Tribolium castaneum: one gene and its partners. The protein of the gene in region 2 interacts with the protein of the main gene of each other region in a pairwise test. Links are inferred from orthologs where the notes say so. Each region holds a gene or a part of one and is shown on either strand. Other genes may lie near its edges. The genes, in order: BAG family molecular chaperone regulator 2, dnaJ protein homolog 1 and Mlf.

What was found.
Region 1: the proteins of dnaJ protein homolog 1 (region 2) and BAG family molecular chaperone regulator 2 interact in a two-hybrid assay, tested with the Drosophila melanogaster proteins (2 studies listed by BioGRID). The link is inferred for Tribolium castaneum from reciprocal best matches to the Drosophila melanogaster genes DnaJ-1 and CG7945.
Region 3: the proteins of dnaJ protein homolog 1 (region 2) and Mlf interact in a two-hybrid assay, tested with the Drosophila melanogaster proteins (2 studies listed by BioGRID). The link is inferred for Tribolium castaneum from reciprocal best matches to the Drosophila melanogaster genes DnaJ-1 and Mlf.

What each region holds. Positions count from the first base shown.
Region 1 is NC_087396.1:11,144,909-11,147,944, reverse strand, and holds BAG family molecular chaperone regulator 2, read left to right. Parts: upstream 1-1,353; 5' UTR 1,354-1,535; coding exon 1,536-1,569; intron 1,570-1,645; coding exon 1,646-1,870; intron 1,871-1,917; coding exon 1,918-2,267; 3' UTR 2,268-2,471; downstream 2,472-3,036. Other genes in the region: hop (tyrosine-protein kinase hopscotch), read left to right, coding at 1-330, 385-554, 600-782, 831-966; beta-mannosidase, read right to left, coding at 2,476-2,730, 2,779-2,979.
Region 2 is NC_087398.1:15,603,553-15,606,751, forward strand, and holds dnaJ protein homolog 1, read left to right. Parts: upstream 1-1,311; 5' UTR 1,312-1,454; coding exon 1,455-2,489; 3' UTR 2,490-2,665; downstream 2,666-3,199.
Region 3 is NC_087399.1:9,872,842-9,877,059, reverse strand, and holds the start of Mlf (myeloid leukemia factor), read left to right. Parts: upstream 1-1,310; 5' UTR 1,311-1,423; coding exon 1,424-1,476; intron 1,477-1,581; coding exon 1,582-2,172; intron 2,173-2,272; coding exon of another isoform or gene 2,273-2,275; coding exon 2,276-2,362; intron 2,363-4,218.

The DNA of each region.
Region 1 (3,036 bases), on a different chromosome or scaffold from region 2:
GGGAGGATTGGGCAAGGGTTTTACGGGGAAGTGTATAAAGGAACTTTGGAATATCCCGGAAATCCTGAAATTGAACCGAGAATCGTGGCAATCAAAAAACTGAAATCGTCAACTGTGTCTGCGTGTTTGCAAGACTTCGAACGGGAAATTAACATTATGAAGACTTTGCAGCACCGGAATATTGTTGAAATTTTGGGGGTTTCCCGGGAACCGGATATTTCCCTAGTCATGGAGTTCGTCCATCATGGCTCTTTGCAGAGTTATTTGAAAATCAATCGAGAGTCGTTGCAAATTAAACAGTTGTTGAAATTCGCGCTTGACATTGCTGAGGTTTGTGGCCTTATTATTTAACCAACTTATCAAATAACATTTTTTATTGACTAGGGAATGAATTATTTGGGCAAGAAAAACATCGTCCATCGGGACTTAGCCACCCGGAATATTTTGGTAGCTGACGAAAACCACGTCAAAATCTCCGACTTTGGCTTAGCGCAAGTCATTGGCACTAATGACTATTACATCTTGAAAACAAACCGGGAATTGCCGATTAAATGGTAATTAGCGAAAAATCACGACTTGAATTACTTTGGTCTTGTTAGGTACGCGCCTGAAAGTTTACGAGACGGCAAGTTTTCCGTGCGTTCCGACGTTTGGTCGTACGGTGTCACAATGTGCGAAATGTTCAACTGGGGCGAAGAGCCGAAATTGTCGAATCTGGGAGAGGAGGAAGTCAGAGGTCAAGAGCAGCAAGTTCTCTTGAACGCCTTGGAGAGCGGGGCCAGGTATTGGTCCGTTGCTGACTTCGTTGGTTTTATCGTTGCCTTTTATAGATTTCCGTGTCCTCCAATGTGCCCACAAGCTGTCTATATACGGATTATATATCCGTGTTGGCACGCGGACCCCCACGAGCGGCCCGCGTTTAGCGTCCTCGTCCAGGAAACGCAAGACCTGCTAACGCAGTATTGAGTGATATTCAGTGCCCATGCAAGGGTGAGCACAGGAAAGAGCACCACTTTGTATAATCTTTTGTATTAAGTTATTCACAAACGCCTATTTAAGATCAAGTGTTAGATTTTAGTTTAAATAAGTACCTGTCGTTTTTATTATTTGCTCAATTTATTTGGAACAAGCACTTCTCGTGCCATTTCTCAGTGCAATCAACTTGTAAATATGTATATTCTATATTTTAAAATAAATGTTAATTTAAGGTTTTTTGCATCATTTCGCTGGACCATTTGTCTCTTTGAACAAATGGCCATTCGGTTTAAAAAAATGCGTTAAAAGCCGCGAATTAATAGCGATAAACATTGAATAATGGTAATGAAAGTACAATTAAGCAGATTTATGGTGTTTTGGGGCGTTTTTTATTGTATTGATTGCGTTTTTCGAGGCGGTTTCGAACTAGTGGGACTAAGGAGTAATGGAACTTTCTAGATTTTGAATCAAATGACCAATGAGTTGTTCCTGTGCTGAATCAAATTGATTTAAAATTATTAGATAAACTGGCGTCAACCAGCAACGATAGCTGCAACAGAATGGACATAGATCCATCTCCGAGTACTTCATCCGGTAATAAATCCTTCTTATCAATATGTTTTTAGGTTATGTCAAAATTTTTGTGTTTGACTAACAGCCCGAGTTTCAGGCTTCTTAATGGATCTGACGTACTCAGGATTGCCAAGGATCGATGAAAACAACACCGTGGATCCCAAATCGCCCAAAGAGCGGGTTTTAGAACTGTTAGATATCTTAGAAAGTCATGTTGAGAAGTTGCGGAGGGAAGCGGCGCAGTTGGAGGAGGACCGGGACCACTTGTTGTCATCCCTGGACTCGGTTAGAAACACTGATTTAATAGTCGACTTACCGGATAGTAAGTATACCAAAAGTAAAAGTCGTTCGTAATTAATTATTTGTAAGATGATAGGGATGATGTTTGCCAGTACGCTGAGCGCATCATGAGCCGCTGCCTCACGGTGGAAGTGAAGATTTTAACTCAGCGTGATAAGATGCAAGAAGAAGCCTTGCACCAAGTGAATCATTTGATAGACAGTCTTGTAATGTGTGTGAAATCGGATCCTGAAAGTGCAAAAGCTAGATGTATAACCTTCATGAATGCTTGTTCTTCGAATGTGGTGCACGGGATCACGGATAAAAAGTTCGAATCGGCTTTGTTAGGATGTACCGTTGACGACCAAAAACGGGTAAAGAAACGGCTTCAAGGTTTGTTAAATTACTTTGATAAACTTAATGTAACTTCGATTCCATAAACTTACTTAATAGTGCGTTGTTATTGATTGTGGCCCGCTTATTGCCATTATATACACATTAAATCGTTAGTATTTAACCAATTGAGTTGTCTTCATTACGGCTTTAATACAACACAGTCGTGTTAACTTAAAATAGCCACTGTGATTGTTTAAAAGACACTTTATTTATAATTGATGAATTAAATAAAATTATTAATTCATGTATTACTTATTTCCGTGAAATAAAATACTTAGGGTCTCTTAGATGAGTCACTGTAAGCGCTTGTTTCAAATCTTCGCTTGTTGTTGGTGAATCTGCTATAAAAGTGACTGTTGTAACAAGAGAGTGTTGAATAAAACCGTTTTCAAGAAAGTGGCCTTTAATATCGTGCGGGTCCAACCAAACGAAAAGACTAGGGGCGTCGGCTTTCACCCACACGTGGAAGCGCAAGCCTTTCGCGTCAATCATATCAACTGAAATAATCTAAAACAAAGCTAAAGCTCTTATCGGTTAATCCCCCGGAAAAATTACCTCAACATTGGAGTTTTTAAGTTTAGCTTCCTTAAATTTTGAAGGGAAAAAGTAATTAGACGGGGTCAAAACTGTGCCGTCTTTCCCACCAACAATATGCACAAAGCAGTTGTATTTTGCTACATCTGCAGCGCCACACCCGGAATCGGACAAAAATTGGTCCACATCGTATGATGCAACTAGTCTTGCCACCAAAGGCTCCTTCAAAATGCATTAATCACGACGTTTTCTCAATTTTAAAATTTCTCTCAAGGTCCG
Region 2 (3,199 bases):
TTGAGGTGCATGAACAATTTATACCAACTAATTTTGTTTTCTGTTAATAAACTAATAAGCTGATAAGTTCATAAGCTGATAACAAAATATATGCCACATTTGTCTATCACGTCTAGTTTCTTAATATATTCACTAAAAGTTTAAAAAATTTGTTATTGGTGTCTAGTTTGGCATTCGTTGTTTCTGTCAAGTGAATGTAGATTAAGCCCGAACAACCTTTGTTCCCAACCTGGAAAACTTAAACGATGAAATTGTAATGTTTTCATCAAGATTTTAAAGTAAAAAGTTAAAAAGTAAAAAACAAGGTTTTTGGGTTAAAAAACTGACACTAATCTGTACAAAAAACGAAACAATCTGTGTCAATTTTAATTTTTCAAAAGTTTTGAATAAATTTTTTGGGGAGTCTCTGGCATTCGTTATTGACGTGATTAGCAAATTGTTAAATATTTTATTTGCTTTAAAATATCAACAGGTGATTGTAAATTAAGCCCAAAAAAATATTTTATTAGTTAGTGTTGAAAGTATCCTAACAAAACCTGGGAAGCTTAGGCGATGAACTTGGTGAATCTTACTATCAAGATCTATTATTTATTACTCTTTCCTGAAAATAGATTTTATGTAATCATGCAACCAGTAATACACTCACTAACTTTGGGGGGCGATGGTATAAAAACAAGCAAAACAAAACAAGCTTTCACATTCTGATGGTGTTGAGTGTGATGACGCATTTTTGCACGTGCTAATTTTTATTACTGGAAGACTTGGTTCTGGAACTTACCGTTCATTATAAACTTTTATTAATTTTTAAACAGGAAAATGATGGTTAACGCAGCGTATTATTCTTTTAACAGTGTAATTTAATGATTTCAAACAAAAGGAGCTAATGAAATGAACACTTTTGTCATTATTTACTAATACAATTCTTTTAATTTGCGAAAAAATACCGTAAAATAATTTTTGGTAAATTGGGAAAGAAACTAACAAGGCTTGCTCACTATAGTTATTAGTCATTTAACACAAATAAAACTGCAGAAATAAGAATTCATTTTTGTGTGAGACTGAGACACTTCTTATAAATAGAAATCATCAGTATTTTATTTAAGGATCCGACCACCTTTTTATAAATTTTGAATGTTAATGTGACGTGTAACAAAGAACTTCCTTTATTAATTTTGATCATTAAAATATATTTTTCTTTTTTTAATTTTCAACATGATAATTTTGAATTTATCCCTTCTGACACGTGCTGAGTCCAGAAATTTCCAGCCGCGTCCTCCAGCGGGGTGCGACAATTCCAGAATCTTCTAGAAATTCCTAACCTATATAAAGCATCGACGCGAGCGCTCGCGCACTCAATACGAAACGAACAATCACTACGTGTACACTAATTTATTCTCGAAGAAGCTTGTGATTTTAAGTTTGTGTGGACTTTTCGTGACATTAGTGCAGTGAAAATGGGAAAAGACTATTACCGAATCCTCGGCATATCAAAAGGAGCCAGTGACGACGAGATCAAGAAAGCCTACCGCAAACTCGCCCTCAAATACCACCCGGACAAGAACAAGTCCAAAGAGGCTGAAGAGCGCTTCAAGGAAGTGGCCGAGGCTTACGAAGTTCTTTCCGACAAGAAAAAACGCGACATCTACGACGCCTACGGCGAGGAGGGCCTCAAGGGGGGCATCCCCGGCGACTCTGGCACCTCAGCCCCCGGGGGCTTCACCTACACCTACCACGGAGACCCGCGCGCCACCTTCGCCCAGTTCTTCGGCAATGCGAGCCCCTTCGAAGCCTTCTTCAGAGGCAATCAGACCATGTTTGCGTACCAAGACGACGACATGGACTCCGATCCGTTTATTAACATCACGGGTGGGAGGGCTCCTGGGGGCGCCTTCCGCAGCCAGTCCTTCAACTTCCAGGGCAGCCCCCAGCGCGGGAAAGACAAGCAGGACCCCGCTATCGAGCACGACCTCTACGTCTCGCTGGAGGACATCGCCAAAGGCTGCACGAAGAAGATGAAGATTAGCAGGAAGGTGTTGCAAGCGGACGGCTCTACGAGGAGCGAAGACAAGGTTTTGACTATTAATGTGAAGCCGGGGTGGAAAGCGGGAACTAAGATCACCTTCCCCAGGGAAGGGGACCAAGGGCCAAATAAAATCCCGGCGGATATTGTGTTTATCATCAGGGATAAGTCGCATCCTTTGTTCAAACGTGAGGGAAGTGATATTAAATATGTGGCTAAGATTACGCTCAAGCAGGCTTTGTGCGGGTGTTCGATTGAAGTGCCAACCCTAACCGGCCAGAAAATCCCTATCCATTTCACCAACGAGGTTGTTAAACCCACAACAGTGAGGAGGTTGCAAGGTTACGGCTTGCCCCTACCCAAGGAACCTTCCAGAAGAGGAGATCTCATTGTCAATGTTGACATCAAGTTTCCAGAGAGGCTTTCACAATCTGCTAAGGACATTTTGTACGATACATTGCCTAACTAAACAGTTTGTTTATGTAATTGAATAAGTCAGGCTGTACGTTTTAGTACAAATTAGTTAAATTTAAGCTTTGTTAATTTAATCGACTTGTATGATGTTTATTGTATTATAAAGTAGCGTCGTGTGTGATATTTTATCTGTTATGAATTAGTAATAAACTCTTTTATTATTTTTTCTAATTTAATTTCTTTCATTTGAATCCCCTTGATCCGTCTGTCACTAGTAGCACAACCAGAACAGAACCCTTTGACTATAGGTAAGTGTCCCATACGCAGACATACACAGGCATACTCAGGTTATGACGTATTGGTGACGTACATATATCGATATATGGTCGAAGTGTATAACAAATCCCACAATATTCATAATGTTTTTAATTTTTACATTGCAATTGATTGCTTTTTGCGACTACTCAATTTAATTGTTTACGTTTTTATACCCATTTTCTTGTAACTTTTCCATCAGAACACCACCAGAACGTTTTATATTGATTTACTTAAAATAGTAATATGATTATGCAAATTAATGATCGGTTTGCAATTATTATTACAGGGCGCCCATTTTATCTGTTCCCGCCTTAAATATTGAAAACACGCAACTCATTATACAATTCAAAGTAAACTTGGATTTTTAGAATTTTGGTTTTTAGAATTAACGCATAGTTAACAGAGAACAACTACTGTCATCATAACGTTGACTTTGGTTGATTTGTT
Region 3 (4,218 bases), on a different chromosome or scaffold from region 2:
GAACAGATTCCATGGAACTTTCAAACCTGTGCTTCAATCACGTAAATAATAAATCGACACCAAAAACATTAAACAAAGGAGCCTCCAGACTGTTCAAAGTCGTCCACATTACGAAGCACGTCTGTGTAATAATACTAGAAACTCATTCAAACAAAATTTGATTAAGAAATGTAAAGTGGTAGGTATCAACTTCAAAGAGAAATTTCTAAGATACCAAATTTTCATTAAGTATTTCAGGTAGATTTAAACAATACGTCCTTGAAAATTCATTCTAAATTATTAGATTCCGCCCTAATGGGAAAGAATTTAAGACCGCTCTGCTTACACTGACCTTCGTTTCAGAAAATTTAATGCATCTAAATCTGGGAATTGTAGCGCATCGAAGTTTGGTGGACTTTTTATAGCCACTTATTTACAGCAACTATGTTATACAAAATTTAAATAATAAAGAGAAATTCAGGTTGTATTATTTCTATTTCTTAAGTAATATCGAGGTGTAAACCGTACCCCAAATTTTGTACACCTGTGATTTAATCATGATTCCTTCTGATTTTTCCCTAAATTTTTAAAGTGATTTCCTTAAAATTTCTTGATTTACTCAATTTTGTACACTGATTTCCTCTGCGGTTTACCTCTCGGGTAATATTGAAAACACTTACTTTTATTATTGCGAAAAATGTCTTGGTTTCATAGCAGTTGTTAATAGTGTTGAGGGAAAAAATTAAATTTAATTAAAAAAAAATAAATCGACCAATTTAAAATCTTGGAGTAATTAAATACGATAAACTGTAAAAACACTTAGAGAGGAGTTTATTAAAATTAGAAATGTAAGTATCACAATTTTTTTAAATCAAACAATTATTATTTTGAAACGTGTTTTTGGCTTTTTCGTTAAATACAAAGTTCAAATTCTTTTAAGGAATGAATTCACTGTTGAAGCGCCAGCACCTTCTTCGAAATGTCCATAAGAGTTGCTGTATTCTGCGCATTCTAAAAGCCTTTCTCATTGCAATGTTCAGTTGAATTTAGGGACGATCTGATTTATTTTTACGTGAGTGAAGCACAAGTTTGAAGGTTTCATGGTATCTGTACACATAAACTGTAATAACCAGGGTGAAATTATAGACGATCACCGAATTTATTGTTCTGATTCACCAATTTTTCAAACGTGAAAAAATCTTGACATTTTTGACGTACGTTTTTGAATTTTGATAGTGGAGCCATCTGTAGAGTGTATAATCGTTATTGTTGCCCTGTCAAGGTCCGTGTCGCTACTTTAGTATATCTACTGGCTTTGATTTTCCGAACGCCGCAGCGCCGCCTGGCGGCCGTTTCATTCCCCGCGCCAAGTGTCACTAGTGTCGTTCATTAGCAAAGTGTTTTGTGAATTATTGTTGAGAAAAGTGTTAAAACCTTTCAGAAAATGTCTCTCTTCGGCTCATTAATGGGCGATATTGAGGAGGATCCGTTTTTCGGGTGAGTTTCCGTCAGTCGCGCCGTGCAAATCGCCGCCAAAACCCCATAAACAATCCGCCATGCTGTTCTAGAAATCTGAACGAAAATTTTCATTTTAATTCCCAGATCTCACATGAATATGATGCGCCAAATGAACACAATGATGAATTCCTTCTTCTCGGACCCTTTTTCGATGGGTTTCGGTGATTTCGATCGCGGTCACCGCATGAGCAACTCTCTTATGCCTTTTTCAATGCCAATTATGCCAAATTTCAACCGGCTGTTGAGCGGCTCGTTGGACTCCCTGGGGGCGCACAGTTACAGTTCCAGCACCGTGGTTAGCATGTCTTCGGGGCCCGACGGCCGCCCCCAGGTGTACAAAGCCACGTCGAGCACGCGCACAGCTCCTGGGGGTATTAAAGAGACCCAAAAGACAGTCACTGACACACGGTCAGGGACCAAGAAAATGGCCATCGGGCACCACATCGGCGAACGGGCCCACATCATAGAAAAGGAGCAGAATATGCACACTGGGGACCGTGAGGAAAGGCAGGATTTTATCAATTTGGACGAGGAAGAGGCCGAGGATTTTAATAAAGAGTGGGAGACTAAGACTAGGAGTCGTTCGGAGATTCCCAGGATTTGTTCGGGGTCTGTGCGAAACCGACATGGGTATGGGGCTCCAGGAGGCATGCTGGCGATCACTGGAGGGCCTAGGTAAATTTTTTTGTTGGTTATTTAGTAGCACAAGGTGCTGGTTCACTCGCTTTGATGCACTTTTCCTCGTTTCAATGTTGTGTTAAATGTACGCATGTAGTAGACGTCGGCAAAGACAGTCAACCCCAATGGTCTCGCCTCGTAGAAGTATAAGATCGTCGCCGTTAACTGTGCCACAGGCGTCGGCTAGGTAGGTCAGCAAAATTTTCGGTGAATTTCGACAATAGCGGCTTATTGATTTGATCCAAAAAAATTACAAGACTTTGATTTTAGCGAAAACCAATATTGAATTTTTGTTGCCTATGATTTGACAATTTTATTTAAATGACAAGATTGAACAAATTCTTTAAGGGGGCGACTTACGTCCACAGTTTTCATAATTCGAACTAAATGGTTGATACAGAAATGTTTAATATTTTGTTTCACCACTAGATGGCATGAGTATGGTGAAATCGAAATTAAAGTCTCGAGTCACTAATTATCATTTTTTATTTTTCAAAAAAAAAAATTATTAAATTGATCTGTACGTGCAGATTTTTAAGCTTTGTGAGTTTGTGTTAAAAATTGGAAAATAACACCTCTGTTTACCAAACATAGGCCCGGTATTTCAGTTGATGGTTAAACTAAAAATATTCTGGTTACCAATTTTTTTCTTATTAATTCATTATTATTTATTTATATTATTATTATTATTTATATTATTTATTATCTTAGTATTTCAGTGCTTGGTTTACTGAATCAAGTACAAGAAATTAAGGGTGTACTTTCAAGTACTATAGGCAATTAAAAGTAGGCAAAATATACTAACGTTAGTGACATCGAAATTACTCTGATTTTTCGGATTTTTCCTTTCCGATTGATTCTTTGTTTTACGTAGTTACATAGTTCATAACAGCAAAATATTTCGCTAAAATTGAGCAAATTAGAAACATTCTTGAGTTTTTGAAATTCCCTTTTAAAAAACTACTTGATATGATCACACTGATGTGCAACTAAATCCTCCGTCACATAAAAATATTGCGAATATGAAGGTCTACACATTTCTCAAAATACAATATTTGTTGTGTTTTGACCTGAGCTGATAGAAATAAAAAAAATAAGAATTACCAGGAAATTATGCTAGAAGCTGGGATATGTTATTTAACATGTCTAAGAAATTATTTTTTGGATACTTAGATTTCTTTCCTGAAAATCTGAGTACAGTATCGTATAAAAGATTTATTACACTAATTTAAAAAACTAAAAAAAAACAAACGGAAAATGGTCAAAAATAATGCTAGTACGAAACTCGAACTGAAAATAAGAAAGGGAAGAAAAAACTATGAAGTAAATGTATTAGATTAATTTCAGAAAGTATCAAATGTATTACAGAAAGTTTTTGTATGTATATTGTATATATTATTTTATTATTTGTATATTTTACATAAAATTATAACTTACCTTATTTCTTGTCGATATACCAAAGTAAGTTATAAGTAAAACAAAAGATTTGTACAAGGTGGTTCGAAAGTATCAGGCCATCTCTTGGATAGTAATAAAAGAGATCTATCAGAGCTAAAAGTTCCTTTTCATGAGATATATTTTTTAAAAGTTAGATTTTTGAGCTAATTTTTTATCATTTTAGATCATGTTTTCTTGAATTTAGTTCGCAGAAATGGAATACTTTATACCATTAAGCTGATACTTGTTAAAGAAACCATACTTTTTAATAATTTTAATTTAATAAAAAAGGAGAATATAAATGATCTAGTTTCAAATTCCTTCAAACAGATTAATTGAATTTTTGAATTTTTTATTTGAGATGTATATTTAAAAGATAACTAGCCGAATTATAATGGCAGTTTTTAAGCTACAGAACAATTCTTGTGAAGCTAAATTGTATAAGTGAAATAAAATCTTAACTTAAGTCCTAATTTCAGGTTATAGCTGAAAAAAAAGGGAATAAATTTCACCATCGAACAAATTTTACCATTTACTTTATGTTTTTTGAATTTGAAACGAATTTTCATTGTTATTTGAGATTTTTTAAAAATCTATTCGAAATTG